Linked DNA regions of Nothobranchius furzeri. The protein of the gene in region 1 interacts with the protein of each later gene in a pairwise test. Links are inferred from orthologs where the notes say so. Each region holds a gene or a part of one and is shown on either strand. Other genes may lie near its edges. The genes, in order: csde1 and c14h11orf68.

Region 1 (8,438 bases):
GCTTGTTTACAGAGCAGCGTATTTGGGTCAACAACCTTCTACTCTAACCTACTTGTTGTTTCTAATGAAGCTAAATTTCATGAAAGAGTAGAGCTGGGCGATTAGAAAAACATCTTATCACTATCACGATCAAAAAATCTAGGTTGTTTAAAAAAGAAAACAAATCCGTACTATTTGACTGTCTTTCATACTAAATGGTGCTTTTAGGTGAGATTCAAAGAGATCAGAAGGTTATCATTTTAAAGATTTATTTATTTTTGCACACTTTCTGTAATCTGGGATTTTAACGTCTTGCATTCTGCTGCTTCAGAATGATCAGTTGTTCTCCCTGAATTAGTCAAAACCTGTGCTCAACATCATTTGTGGTGCAGCTTATCTGACATTAGCTAGCCAAAATATGTCTACATCAGTGGCAGCTGGTGAATTAGTTACATTTTTTCGGCAGGGCACATTTATGCCCTTTTGTTTTCAGATGTTCTAGCGAAATATCACCACTAGGGGGTGCCAAATTACCATTCTTACGATCAAATCTACGTTTTGTACCTCAACACGCAATGTCGCTAAATAAAAAGGCCAACAAAAGACACAGTAGCAACAGTGCAATATGATCCTATCCTCTTTACAATTTAAGCACCATTACTCAACCTGCAAAAGTCACGGAGCAATGCTGCAGCAAAACAAAGCTACTTTCATAAACTCAGAATCATAAATCAAGTCTTACCTTTGCTTACCTTTACCTGTACTCGTTTACTCTAAAACAAAGAATGGTGAGTTAAAAATAGTTATTAAAAAACTGAACTGTGGAGAGTTTCTGGTTCCAGGCAAACATCCTGAGCTGACACTCCACTCGGTTTTGGTTTAAACTTCTGCGACCAAAGGTGCTTCTATTCTTTGCATTTGAGGGGATCCAACGTGTTTAGCTCTGTTAAAGACTGCTGTGCTCGAAAAGAACAGGAAGTACGTAATATGTAAGATTTTTTTAAACTTCATTTAGATGCAGATTATACACAGCACTTATCGTCTGTGATGTGTAGATCGTTTTAGTTTAATTTTCATGTTTTGATAGTAATTCCATCTTCTTCCTGTGAGACTGGTGGGTCGCCCTAGCGCCCCCCCCCCCCCCCCATGGACGAGCTGCCACTTGTCCACATAACTGAACTGTTGGGCTCTTTTTTTTTCTCATGACATTCACTGTGTCCTATCCTTTTAATTACCTGGCTTACGGCAACATCCTACCAATTAGCTATGGTAACAAGCTAAAGCGATGCAAACATTAGCAGCACTTTTGTCATTGTGCTTTGCGGCTCTATTCCAGCCAACGATTGGTCCATCGCGGAGCACCAATATAAGCTGTTCTTTATATCGAGGTTTTTATCAACTCGTTCTCATGTCTACCGAGAGAGGATTTTGAATTATATATTGTTGCTGTTCTATCGCCCAGCTCTACACAAGATACACAAATTAATTTTCTTTTTGGTTCCAAATAGTAGTAATGTGCAAAACAGAGGGCCTTGTTGTGGTATGTATCAAAAAATAGTCAACGCTAGCTAATTAGTAGGGATGCAACAATACCACTTTTTTCCAGACCGATACGATACCGATACTTGGATCCAAGTACTCTCCGATACGATTACCAATACCGATACTTCTACCACAAAAAAATGCAATGATTTGGAATACAAATTTTATTTTCTTCAATTCAAAAATACTTTATTAATCCCAGAGGGAAATTGATTGCTGTAGTAGCTCAGAATAATAATAATAATCAAGTCATCAAAGAGTTGTTGTATATTACAATGGCTGTTGGCAGGAAGGATCTCCAGGAGTGGTCAGTGTTGCAGCCAAACTGAAGAAGCCTCTGACTGAAGACACTCTTCCGTTGTCGGACAGTCTTGTGAAGAGAATGCTCAGGGTTGTCCATCATTTTCTTGATTCTCTGGAGATTCCTTCTTTGCATCATCTCCTCCAGCGGTTCCGAAACTGCTGAAACTCTGGCTGAGTCCTTGAAAGGGCTTGGAGTTCCTCCATCTTTTGGCCAGTGATCTCACATTGTCCATTATGATCGATGGAAGAGATGGTTTGAATTTCCTCTTTCTCTGTCTCAGTTTTGCTCCCGCTCTGCACCCACGCTTCTTGTGTTTTATCTCATTTGGGATTTGTGGCTTCAGTTGAGGTATTATTTCAGCCTTTCTAATGTTAATCAGCTGCTCCCGATTGTAAACCAGCTTGTTGCCATGGTTACGCATCATAACAAATTGCAGTAAAAATCCTCCACGCTTCACAGCACCAGAAACAGAAAAGTTAAGTGTCCAAAAAATACAGTTTTTCTTGAGAAACTGGAAGAAAAATTGCCCAACAAAAGGCAAAACTTACATATAGTCAACAGAGCTACTCGAACATGCAGCCGCCCAGAGCAGCGCAGTTCCAGAAAGCTTCTCTGCTTTCAACAGGAAAAGACTGTGAGGTAGATAAAAAGTAAAATATATGAATGGAAATCATAACAAAACTAAAATATTAGGTGAACAGAAATGACAAGTTACAGTGAAGCCATATTTAAGGTACTGTATTGGTATCGGTTTCTGGTATTGATTAACTTTTAACGATACCTATACTGGTATTGGTACCGATACCAATACCAGTATCTGTGCATCCCTACTAATCAGCCCCCTTTTGCCTTTATCAAGAGGTTTTTGTTTACAGAATAGATGCAGGTGGTCAGTTTTTGTATTTTTCTGCAGCTTCTCTTGGGACTCGCCCCTTTTTCCTGTGGTGCAAACTGTGTGTGTGTCCATTGTCAAAGAAGAGGGTTATCTAACCAGAGCTGCTTTCTCTCCCCAACAGTATGAAGTGAAGCCGAACTGAATTTTTGTACCATCCGCAACTGCTTCAAGTTCAGATCAAAACAAAGGAACTGAAGAAAGAAAAAACCTCCTTCCAAAAGCAGTAACTCCGAAGATAACGTGGGAGGAACAGGATCACTTCAAGGATTTAAAAACACGAGTAACCAAATCCTGAAACGACCAAAGAACACGCACACCTGCCCAACTGCAACACAGACGAGAAGCAATCCTATGCCCAAGCATATTTTGAGAAGCTAACTGATCTGAAACCAGAAGTTTGTGCCTACTCAACAGCTTTGACAAAGCACACGTCCCAACGCTGCTCCTAGCCCTCCTCATCCTTACTACGCTGCCGACTCACCTCCAGGGTGTGGAGTTGGTTGCTATCTGCTAGTTCCCTCCCATCGTTCCCCTCTCTCTCCCACCCTCTTCCTCTTCTCCCTCTGTATTTCTTAAGTTTTCTGCACAGTGTTGTTGCACCTGCAATTGCCTTTCATGTGCTAGATCTCTCCCCCCTTTTTACTTTATGCAACCACCTAGAAGTTGAGCCAGAAACCTGTTAGCTGTGTGTGTGTGTGTGTGTATGTATGTGTGTGTGAGAAGAAGTCTGCAAAGTGATCAAGAGCCTGGTTATTGAAAAGACAAAAGTCAACAAATAAGGTGAGTTTCAGTCGTTTTCCTTTCATAGAACAAGATTCATCATGTGAAAGGCTTTTTTGCATTTCAGCCATAATATTTGTGACTTCATAAAAGGGTTCGGTGTTGTTTTTAAAGGAAAAACTGTAAATGATAAACTTTTTAGAAAATGTCAAAACTGGTTGTGTAACACTGGCTTCAGTGCTTAGGTTTTGGTGCACTAGATGAAAGTGTATAGCTGTCTGGTACCTGTGTGTTTGCAAGCTTTTAAAACTGTGTTCTGACTTCTAGCTTTAAGATCCATTTTTAAGGCGGCACTCAAACTTTGCCTCTTAAGCACAACGTGGAACATCAGTTCAGCTGCTAGCGTTTAGTCAGAAATTAGCTGCTCTTTGTACTTCCGGTCATACTGTTGAACATCTGATTTTTGTCGTTTCTCTAAAGCCTAGTTTATGCTTCTCTGTCAAAGTTTAAACTAGCATGTGTTGACAGAAACATCTTACTTTCATACTACTTTGTGTGTCAGTGTTGCCAAGCAATTCTCTGCCAGGACAGCAGAGGCTGTAGACATGTTCTGGTGGGTCTACCTGTCATTTCAGTGACTTCTCTAGCCAACGATAAAATCTCTATTTTTTAAATAACTGACTTGCGTTTGGCGGATAGTTTAAAAATGGGCTCTTCATCCGTCTTTGCGTGCCTTTTGGAGAGTTCTTGCGTCAACGGATAATGAAGCTGCGTCTCGTCAGATGGGAGAAGTATAAACTAGGCTTGACTTTTCCAATAAGCAAGCTGAGCTGAACTAAACAGTCACCATCCCTTCAATGTTTCTAAACCGGTGATTTGATTTAGTTGATCAGATTGCGTTTCCACAGCTAAATTGACACCCTTTCTACTCTTGAGTCATCTTTTTAAATCTTTTGCCTTTTCAACTCCTCCTCTGAATTGACAGCTGATTTCCTGTGTTTGTGACACTTGGCACACTGGCTGTCCTATCTTCATTGTCCATTATGTTTGTTCCTCTCTTCACCCTTGCAGACATCCAGCAGTGTATCATTGGGTGGTTGCGTAACCGTTTTTTGTCTTAAGTCCAGCAAAAAATTCAAACCAGTAATCAAGTTCAGCAAGTGCTCAAGCAAGCAAGTTTGGTTGGAGTTTATGGGAAAATATGGGCAGCCCCTGGAAAGGCTTTGTTGAGTTTACCTTGCCTGCGTCACCACCTACCGCGTTTGTTAGCGCTGACCTGAGCAGCACCTCCCCCGTCGGACTCAGCTTGTCACCGTATGGCCGATCCGTAAGTTTCGCCTTCCTGCCTATTTTCTGCGAGCCCTACCCCATTGAGCACCCATCCACCCAGCCCTGCATCTTTGCTGTGAATGGCCTAATCTTCCATTACCACCGGGCTCCCGAGACTAGCCTCTACTCAGTTACATCGTTGCAGGGTGAGGGTTGTTTGAGTGTAGCTATAAGGCTATTTCACTGATGCTGGAGAGTCTTTATTTTCTCTTATCAAATTAAACCCTAACCCTGGCTTTCTACTGGATGTGTAAGCAGAGTGTAACGTAATACACTTAATCTGCAATTTCTCTTCCCACTGGGAACGTTTCACACAGCTGGTTCTGCAAGGTCGCAAAATGACCTGAGAGTTGGTCACGTGTCATTTCTGAAATTCTCATGAGAACCAGTACGGAGAAAGATGGCTGCATGTAACCAAAATGATCCCTGGTGTCTGTTCAGTTTACCTTGGCCAGAGGTTTCACTGGTAGTTACATACCTTTTTTTTTAACTAGTTAAAGAGCAAGTCACCCCCTGCCCGAGTCTTACTCCACTCCTACTTCCTGTTTGTACAATGCAATGCTGTTGCCTGGTAGACCGAGGGGGCGGTGCTGCTAACAAATACACACACAGGCTCATAACGGCATTGTGACATCATATGGTACTTCTTAGCCAATAGCGTTATCAGATTTAAATTCAAATGCAGTGCAAAGTTTTCACCTGAAGAGGGCACAACAATGAGTTTAAGGCAGAATATTTAAGTTTTTACTAAGATGCACTAAAGTGACAAATAATTGACTACACGTGTCTAAAGCACGATTACACACATTTATATAGTTTATCAGCAAAACAAAGTTCATTTGGGAATGACTTGCTCTTTAAGCAACTGGAAATCTGCTTGGAACTTTATTTTGAAAGTTTTGAGATGTTTAACACAGATCTCATGTTCTTGTCTGGCCTGACTCTGTAGGCACAGCGTGTTAAAAATGTGTCATACGTGACGCGTCCCCCCCGCTTCTGGGACTCTTTCGAAACGCGGTGCTGGTGGAAGTGCACCCATTCGTTATCATGATGGCTAATTGCTGTGAACTATGCTTTATGGACATAACGCAATGCTTACGCGTCCGGTAGAGAAGCCTGGTTACATAACTCACCTTCCCATCAGCCCAAAAAAGAAATTACTTCATAAAGTGTAAAACTTTAGAAAAGCTTCCTACCTTTTGCGTTTTTTATTTAAAAGTTGCGTTTTTCGATAGAGCAGAACAGGGTCTAACAGCAGAGGCTGCTCTGGGATCCCCCTCATTACCCATAATCCATCACCAGCTCTGTCCACCTGTAGATACCTGCTGTTCAAACCGTCTCCATCTCCAGTCCTGTTCTCGCCTCAGCTGGCTGTGCCAAGAGCTAATTTTAGTTCCTTTTTCCGTTTGAATGGAGGTTTTTATTTTATATCTTTTTAGAAGGGGTGCTAAAAAACTCAGTTTGGAGGTTGTACACTCATTAAGGTTTTTGTGATATTCAAATATATTAATTAATTCATTCTCTAATAAAACATGTGACTTGTTTTAATACGGAGCTGGCATACAGAGGTTGTGTAAAGTTGGGGACATCAGTTGGACGTTGTGGCATAAAGCATCAAGGTTTGGGTGTCCAAGGGCGTTTCTCAATGCTAAAGAACCTTGTCTTGATGTCTTGTCCCAGTCCCGGTTGCCTAGGAGATACGTAAACAGACGTGTTCCAATGTTCATGTCTACCGAGGTGTCTGTTCTCCGTTTGTTAGCCGTTCAGCTAGCTGAGCAAGGATACACGGGAGGTGTCTTGTAGCCTAGCCTTGGTCAAAAATTACCCAGAATACACCGCAGTATTTTCAAAAGGATGGCGGATCAGAAGCCGGCAGCTACTTCTGGGGTAAATTTCAAGTTTAAATGTAAGTCAACTACTTAAAAAAAATTCCCAAAGCAGTTATTTATGGTTGGTTAGTTGCTTAGTAGTTGCAGCTTCGGTGGCTAGCGGGTAGTAACTCAATTATATTTTTAATTATAACAAACATCTAAACAATTTAAAAAGGAAACACCTTGTTATATATTTATGTTGAAACTACTACGTATAAAATATAACGTTATCTCTCGTGTCACGTGCCGTTACGTGGAAGCCGCGGTCACGTGTTGCAAGTCTGTTCCGTTTAACCGTTTTCTTTAACCGAGGAAGGACGGTGTCCTGAGTAAGGTGCCTTGACATTGAGAAACATTAAAAATGTAAGGTAATTAAAGTAAAAACCATTCAAAGCTTTGAGTCGGTTACATTTTGAAGCTGTTGCCTTTTCCAACAGCCTGTCCCGGCCCAGTCTCCTGTGTTAAAAATGGAACGAGGCTCCTCTGAACCTCCAGTTGCTCGAAGCACTGGCTCAGCCTCGAATACCTCCACTGCTCCCGTTCACATTCCCCGATCCTCCTCTGTCTCTGGCCATCCTCACCAAGGAAGTAAAAAATACAAGCGGAGCCCCTTGTATCAGAGATCCGTAAGACGAGACGCAGCTCTTACTGACTGAGTGGCTCTCTGAGCTGATTGGTGTGGTTTTACCTCTAACCGCATGGGTTTTTACATATTATAGTTAAATAAGATTATTGTCACTTGGTTGTGAGTCAGAGGAACGTACACTACTCCATCAGGAGGCGCATGATGCTTTGCAAAGTTCCACCTTGTTAGGATTTTAAAATATCAACAGTTTTGGGTGAATTGCTGTTTTTAAGGCATGATTTGACCTTAAAGGTTTCAGGTTTGTAGGCTAACATAGGTTTAAGTTCACTCCTAAAATGTGTTGACTATTGATGAGAGATCCCCAGAAGGCTCGTTTGCATTTTGTTTTATCATCCTATCCTCCTGGGTTCTGCAGCAGCTGCATGTTTTAGTTTTTAAGTTTGGCTTCAGATGAATTTGCCGTGAACTCTCGTCTCCCCCACCCGCTGTGTTGTGAGCTTCACGCTGATCTGCTGCTGAATCTGTTTAAAACTCTCCTCTCCTCTTCTAGATGAGTTTCGACCCAGGCATGCTCCATAATAACGGTCACACCGCATTCGCCAACGGCACCGGGCCTGGCATTAGAGAGACCGGTGTGGTGGAGAAGCTCCTGGCTTCATACGGATTCATCCAGTGCTCCGAACGTCAGGCTCGCCTCTTTTTCCATTGCTCCCAGTACAACGGCAACCTGCAGGAGCTTAAAGTTGGAGGTGAGAAGTGTTGCGTGTGGCTGGGGGGGGGGGGGTTGTTTGTTAAATGCCCTGTTTCAAAGCTAAATGTTGGCTGTTTTCTCTCCCACCAGATGATGTAGAGTTTGAGGTGTCCTCTGACAGGCGCACTGGCAAGCCCATAGCAGTGAAGCTGCTAAAGATAAAGCCAGAAGTGCTGCCAGAGGAGCGCATCTCGGGCCAGGTGGGGTCAGACCTGCACGTCTATCCCTTTACTGTGCTGCATGGTTATATTCATCCAGTTAAGGAACACCATTTTATTTTTGGTTTTGTCCTTGTCTGTCAACTTTGTTTCCCTTTAATCCCGCATGAATTCTTATTGGTTTTGTGTTTGAGGCTCCCAGTCCAAACAGATTTGATCAAATGTGCGCTTGAGCAGGTTTGATGGACACTAAACTTGTTCATCAAATATACGACCCTCGCTAGAGTCTAATCTGTGCTGAAA
Region 2 (7,637 bases), on another chromosome or scaffold:
CTCCTCATCCTGCAGAAGACATCGAGGTGCGCTTCTTCCAGGATTCGTGGGAGGGCAAGGGCACGTTCTCCCAGGCTGACGTTCACAGGCAGGTGGCAATTGTGTTTCGGACGCCGCCGTACCGCGACACTAACCTTGGTGAGCCTATTAAGGTCAAGATGCAGCTCCGGCGGCCATCTGACCGAGAGGTCAGCGAGCCGATGGACTTCCAGTACCTACCGTCTGACCCAGGTAAGAAGATGAGTTCCACGGTCTCCTGTCTTCCCGGGAGTAATTTTAATTTAGCAAAATTTGTTCATTCTGAGAAATGATCTCGTTACAGACGAATACCGGCTGAGCGAGAAGAGGAAGCGAACAGGAGACATGTTCCAGAACCTCAAACTGGGTCCCATGTTATCTAGTGGTGTGTTGACCCGCTGCTCTTTTCTTCTGGCTTCTTCTCCTTCGCTGTAATGAAACCATGTCTGTTGCTGTTTCAGTGTCCATTTCACAAGAGAGGCGACCGATGAACTCTGCACGAAGAGTCACACCTAAACCCATCTCAATGAGCGCCCAGGCCGGTAGGTGTCTGGTCTTCATCTCCTGAATGTGTCCAGAGTGTTGAGGGAACACATCTATCAAAACCAACCTGCCATTGTGTGAAAAAGGAAACAACCTCTGAACTTAGTTACTGGTTGTCAAACTGTTGAAGTGTTTGTGGTAACTGGGAACCAGTGCCTTACGTCACAGTTGGGGTCTGGTTGGAGGATAACAGATAATCTGGTTAATGACGGTTAACCTACAACGGTAGAAATGTACTGAATGGGTTCAACACTGTGCCTGAATCTGCTCCTGCTGTCTGTTTCCAGTTACTGAAGCGCCCCCTGGTGCCAGTGGGATGAAACCGCAGTCCACCTACTCGTGCATTCAGCCAGCACAGTTCGCTTCGGTCCAACCCAAAGTCACTACAGCAGCTGCGACTGAGCCCTGGAAGATCATGGAGAGTCTAAAGATGGGCCCTCAGCCCAAAAACAACCCACTTCCCTTTATAATGAGCTCAGCAGCACCCCCTGCCTCCATGGCCCCCACCACCAGCGCCACCGCAGCCAGCCAGGACTACCAAACAGTCAACCTGTCAGACCTTCATGAGTTCTTCCCTAACATGTCCTCAGCCATCTCCCAGGAGCCAGCAGCTGCTCAGGGAAACACGGAGCCCACCCAGCCCGGCACCATCTTCTCCAACCCGGACTCTCAGTTCCAAGTGGAAACAACACTCGTGGATGAGGACTTCCCCAGCTTTTCCGATGCCCAGGTTCCCAGCACCCTGGACAGTCTAAACATGGAGGACCTTGTGGACCTATTGAACCCCCGACTTGATGTTGGAAACAGCGCCTCCATGTTTGTGGCCGTTCCCAACTCTGCTGCTGGCCCCCATAACGGCTCAGTGTCCCAGAACCCCTCTGAACCAGTCAGTAACCCAGGAAGCACCTACATGAATTACCCCAACAGCATCGCTAACCTGCTGCGGAGCGAGACCATGATGGTAGCTGGTCCTGGCAGCAGCAGCAACCACCAGCCCACGGTGCTGGACGATCTGGAGGAGCTGATGTCTGCCGATGAAGAGCGTCTCATTTCGATTTTTAACAGCGGAAGCCATGCTGGGTTTGTGTCGGGACACCCAACCTAGGAGTAGTCCCCCCAAAGACCTCTTCTGTCCGCCCTCCTGAGGACAGAAAGTCCACTAACATGGACAAAGGTGGAGGGTGGACGTGACTTTCCACTGTGGATGTACTTACTGAAAAACTATCACAGCAACTACAGGACTGGCCAAGTTCAGCCAATCACACCAGTGTAGCCAGTGTGAGGAGCTTTAAGGGTCACGTGGAAGGTTTTGATGAAGGTGTCGATGTATCGATGGAGCCTGTTGAGCGTCTTTCTGAACCACTTTTGGTTGCTTTGTTCGTAGAAGTGTTTAAAATCAGCCATTTTTACTCCAAAGCAAAAGGCCCGGTACTTCTTAGAGGTGAGCCTACACAAGTACACGGTTTCTGTCAGGTGGTGGTAATGTTCACTGAAGGTCAGCAGTTGCGGTGTGAGCCCATCAAACCAAATGAAGGTTTAAATGTAAATACAATTCAACCAGAAGCTCAGAAGCTTACAACTCTGCCACAGGATGGTTTTTGTACTTTATAAAGACGACAGTTCACCACTTACACACGTTTTACGTCAGCTTTGTAGTAAGTTGTTAAAGGGATTTTTCAGCCGTTTGGATGTTTCTGTAACAGAGTCGACGCGGACTTCATATCTCACAGGGTCAGAAATACAATTTCTAGAAGCTCTCATAGTTGCTGTAAACTCTTCATTATTCTGCCATTAAACCACATTTTTAACTTAATTATTTTCAGTACGAGGTTCAAGACAACCATGTCCTGAACCTGGCTCAGATGGAAAGACGTGCAAACGGGCGTGTATTTCCACCGTTGAGAAGTTGTGTGAACGTTACTGAAGACCACTGCTGCTGCCTTAATATTTAATAAACTTCCCCAAAGCTGTAGCCGTTTACGGGAGGACGAGTCAGCTCCAGCCCTTCTGCTGCATCCAGGGGTTCGGCGTAGGTTTATACAGTAACCGTTTGAAGGTGGCAGCAGAGTGACTTCATAGACCTAAAACCAGCCGGGCCTGATCTCCAGAACTTTCACTGTTCCTGTTATTTTCTAAATCTTCTCGCAGCCATTAGTTTTGTACCAGTTATTTTGGCAGGAACGGTTTTAAGATGACATCCAGCCGCCTTGGTCTGAGCTCAAACTGTGTTTACGGAGAGCTTTCACAGAAAACAGACTTCTAAACGTCTCTCTATGCTGAAGTTCTGCCTTTCTTTACTTGTACACAGAAAACCATGCTATTATCTGGTATGAATGTCTAATCTTGTTTAAATTCAGAACACTTTAACAATAAAAAATCAAAACATTAAGACAGGTTTTCAAAGGTATATTTTACTTGTTAATGCTGCGATGGTTGAGTAGTAAACAAAGATTAAAGCTGAACTGAAGAGATATTTATCTTTTTTAACCAAGGGAAGCATAACCGAGTCACTGAGAGGCCCACGCTCAGGATTCAAGGATCTCATCAATCCTGCCGCTCACAAACATCACTCAACATAAACTGAAACTGCATTTCAGGTCACTTATTCAGCTAAGAAAGCAGGATGGATAAAACAAAACATTGAAATAATATTTTTTCCCCTTTATCAAAAATGAAAAAACACGAGACTGAAGTTGAACCACGGGCTAACTGCAGCGCCCGGGCTTCATGCGAGACGGTCACAACGCCACACTCCTGTCCAGACTGGTTCTAGGTGACTTCCAGCCTCGTGACTTTGTTGATGATGTGGGAGCGCCGGGGAACACATTCCAAGTCAAACTTGCTCTCATAAATTGTTGGGCAGAGCTTCCAGAGATTGTTCCTGTAGATTCCCAGGTATGTGTAAACATCTGGCTTGTAGGAGAGGGGGCATTTGACCCCTGTGGCGCGGATGACCGAGTCCAACCTCATCACTTCACTCTCATCGGTGAAGTTGTGGTTATAGGCACAAATGACCTGCTTGCCTTCTGCCTTGGGGTTAAAGGGGCTTACTTTGACAGTGGAGATCTTGCCCTCCAGGGTTGCTCTGGCCACGCACTCCCATGCGTGGTCTAGTTTGAAGCCTGAATCCAAGTGCATCAGCCACTTCCCCGTGAGCACGCCGTGATTCAGAGCCAGCTCTTTCACCGTTTGGAACGTGACAGGCCTGCTGCTGGCCAAAAGTTTCTCCCAACTCTCCTGGAGACCCATGACATCCCCGCCACCAGGGCAGTGGTCCGGCCCGAGAACAGCGATCCACCCCACCCGGCAGCCACTCTCCTCCTCAGCACCAAACCTGTACACCTGCGAGGGTCTGTTACTCTCCAGCCAGCCTTCAAACTCTGATCTGGGAGTTCTTCTGGAGTCAAAAACTATCCAGGGATCCATGTCTGCAGCCATGGCCTCAGCGGCAAAGGCCTCAGCCATGAACGGGGTTTCCCCCTCTCCATCTACAGGGGCTCCTTCTCCCTCCATCATGCTTTTAGAGTGGACGAATCCAGTCGTTTGTTCTGCTGAGTGGAAACAAACAGTCTGGCTTTAAAAACACCTCACATGTTTGAATACACAAACACACGGCCTGTGGTACTGTAGTTCAAATTACCACTAAAACTACAAGCCCCAGAATGCATCAGGACAGAGCACTGCTACCAGTCTGGAGCCGCCCTAAGGAACTCTGCTCATTTGATTAGAAACATAACAAACTTGGAGGTTTGGACTTCTCAGTACAGTAGTTTGATTGAAGCCCCAGCGATGTTGGGTTTGTGGCTCTGGCTTTTATCTGGCAACACAGGCTCGTCTTCAACTAGCAGTTTTTACTTCTCCTAACATTTTAAAAATTAATATTTAAATTTGCGTACTTTTATTTTCATCGAGGGATTTTAAACAGTCGTGAAAGCATTTGGTAAATGTTTAATACAATACGTTAAGGAAAATAATACGATATATTAATTTTCTAGAAATCTCACTTAAATAAGAAACCACAAAAACATTATAAAACATCTCTTCCGCTATCGACCCTGAACTCTGACCAAGTTTATAACGTTTGACCCATCTGGCCTATAAGATTCAGCGGTGCCAACTAACAGACCACATTTAGCATAATTTACTACATATTTAAAGCATCTTACCAAAACCCTGCTTGTTCTACAGATTGTTCCCCATTCGGACGACTGTTAGCAGCTCCTGTTTGCAGTAACATGAAAGAAAACAACCGAACTACTTCCTTCTAGTTGCTGCTAGCCAACTGGCTAGCTGCAGCGGTTTTTCATAAGGCGCTGCACTTTCGCTCATGCGCATTGGGCAGAGCTGTTGTCGCCCGACTGCAAAAGAGAAAACTTAGCTTTCAGGCAAATACCAATAGAATGCCCATTATCTTAGTGAACTATTCGTACTAATAATGGTCTTTAAACATTAATATATGAAACATATCTCAACTAATTAATACGTGGAACGCTCAGATTAAAATGCTAGCATCACAGTGTTCGCTGGAAGTTAGCGGAACCAAAGTGACCGGACCTGTTTGCGGAGGAGCACCAAGGAACGACTGACGACGTGCTAACAAGTTAGCCGGTTAGCTACCAATATCTGTTGTATGTGCGGTTGGATTGAATCACATATGATATACGAATATAATCCTGAATACTTTGTTTTGTAGTTTATCCTCCCAGGTTGTTTAACTATGCCCAGCAAAAAGAAGAAGTACAACGCCAGATTTCCTCCGGTGAGTCAAAACTTTCATTTGAAACGAGCAAACAGGAGCAGCTAGTTGTGGTTAGCTTCAGGAGATTCGGGCTTTATTTGGTCTAATGGAATGGAAAACCAAATTAGCATCCCTGATGTTTTTCACTGAACTACAACTTAGCCACTTACAGGTTGTAGGTTTCCCTCAATCAGCTAAAAAAGCTATTTTCATGTATATATTTATTTGCTGAGACATCAGTCGTTCGACTTGACTTTGGTTGTTTTTAGCATTGCCTACCACCGACATGGTAAATTATACATGCAGAAATTCTATGATAGAGTTCTTGTACTTATTATTTACCTGCATATGGACTTGCATATAACAAAGTTAACACATATGTAAATAAATGAACTGAGGGGTTGGGTTCTTCACTGAGCTGTTTTTAATGTTCTGCTAACAGTTAGTCTGTGATACGATTTTACAGTAATGAGGAGAAAAAACTGCTTTAAGACATACAGAAAATAACATTTATTTTTGTTTTAGGCAAGAATTAAGAAGATTATGCAGACAGACGAAGAAATCGGCAAAGTGGCTGCAGCAGTTCCTGTTATTATCTGTATCCTTTTTTCTGTAAAGGTTGGATATTTGCGAATTGTTGCTTTTACTTGTACAGTCATGTACAAACTACAAAGCATTTTGAATCTCTGTAATATCTTTGATGAAAAAATCATTTTAAAGAGAATCATAAGCATTTATGCTGTTGTTGATGTTTCCTTCACTGAGTCATCAGCGAGAGCTCTTGAACTCTTTCTGGAGTCTTTGCTTACAAAGGCTTGTCACGTCACCCAGTCGAGGAATGCAAAGACTATGACAACATCACATCTGTAAGTCTTGTGTTTGAGTCAAACCTTTTATTAGTGTGTTATTTTACATGTAAACATAAAAAAATATTCAGATTTAAAGATTCATTGTTGTTTTTACTGTTACAGCACTTCAGGGTTGAATGTCAGCCCCCTCATTTATCTATAATACTCACTTTTATCAAGTGCTGTAAAAAGTATCTGCCCCTCAGGTCTTTGAAACATTTAAAGAGCAAGTCACCCCCTACCAGAGTCTTACTCCACTCCCTGTTTAAAAAATGCAAGTGCTGTTGTCTAGCAGATCGAGAGGGCGGAGCCGCTAATAAATACACACACATTCTCACAGACATTGTGACATCATAATGTACCAGCTAATGTCATGGAGTACCTCTTAGCCCATAGCGATGGCAGATTTAAATTCAAATGCAGTGCAGAGTTTTTATCTGAAGACGATTCAATACTGACGGTTTTAAGCAGAATATTTATTTAAATTTGAACTAAGATGCACTAAAGGGCCAAAATATTGACTCCATGTCTGTGCAGCACGATTAGACACTCAATTTATCAGCAAAAAAAAGTGGTTTTGGGGTGACTTGCTCTTTAAACATAAAAAAAAACAGATTAGCAAAGAAGCATCCTCATCAGACAAAGTTAACTAGAATAAATGGAAAATGCAGTTTTCTAATGATTATTTAATTAAGGGAACAAAATCTGTGTAAACCAACCTGATCCTACAGGTTGATACACTCTGAAGCAACATCTGCAGTCAAGTGTCTATGATATAACTGGTAACGAGTCCTGCATGACTGTGGAGGAGTTTTGTCGTTATGCAGTAATAATAATTCAGCCACGTTGGGAGGGTCTCCTAGCCTGGCAAGCCAGACTAAATAAATGTATTATTTAGTCTGGCCACGCTCCATTGACGGCTCTCGGTTGTGGGGCGGGTTCTACCGTTGTCTTCCAAATGATCTCCGCATTCCACTGGACAAAGAATGTGACATCCTCTTGTTTCACTCTGTTGCATCATCCCACCCACCAGGCATATAGAGTGCCCTGATTGGCCCACAAAGTGGATAAAGCTCTCTGATTTGTTCACTAAGCAGATAGAGCACTATGATTGGCCCACCATTATGGACCAATCACAGCTCTTTATGTGTTTGAAACCCCTCTAGAGAGCTGTGATTGGCCAGCCAGAGTCCTGGTAGGAGCTGCGGAGGTCCCAGTGGAGCGTGCCTGGACTTTGCAAAGCAAGAATTTGGTCTAGTTCACTAGGCTAAGGGTTTCCAGCATGAATGACCTGTTTAAGGTCGAAGGTCAGATGTTGTCCTTCAGGAGAGCTGATTCCAGTTACAGCAAGTGGCCCATGTCCTGATGCAGCAGAGCAGCCCCTGACCATCACACTGCCACCTCTATGTCTGACTGTTACAATATTCTAGCGCTAGTTTTACTCTAGATGGAGCCTTCTACAACGTTTTGCCTTTGTCTCATCAGAGCAG

Evidence for each region.
Region 2: the proteins of csde1 (region 1) and c14h11orf68 interact in a two-hybrid assay, tested with the Homo sapiens proteins (2 studies listed by BioGRID and IntAct). The link is inferred for Nothobranchius furzeri from reciprocal best matches to the Homo sapiens genes CSDE1 and C11orf68.

The regions. Positions count from the first base shown.
Region 1 is NC_091755.1:53,129,365-53,137,802, reverse strand, and holds the start of csde1 (cold shock domain-containing protein E1), read left to right. Parts: upstream 1-3,291; 5' UTR 3,292-3,500; intron 3,501-4,511; exon of another isoform or gene 4,512-4,641; coding exon of another isoform or gene 4,642-4,767; intron 4,768-7,077; 5' UTR 7,078-7,107; coding exon 7,108-7,266; intron 7,267-7,776; coding exon 7,777-7,975; intron 7,976-8,067; coding exon 8,068-8,234; intron 8,235-8,438. UniProt on the Homo sapiens protein: RNA-binding protein involved in translationally coupled mRNA turnover.
Region 2 is NC_091754.1:63,714,679-63,722,315, forward strand, and holds c14h11orf68 (UPF0696 protein C11orf68 homolog), read right to left. Parts: upstream 4,871-7,637; 5' UTR 4,728-4,870; intron 4,113-4,727; 5' UTR 4,078-4,112; coding exon 3,331-4,077; 3' UTR 3,101-3,330; downstream 1-3,100. Other genes in the region: drap1 (dr1-associated corepressor), read left to right, coding at 5,279-5,320, 5,825-5,897, 6,072-6,165.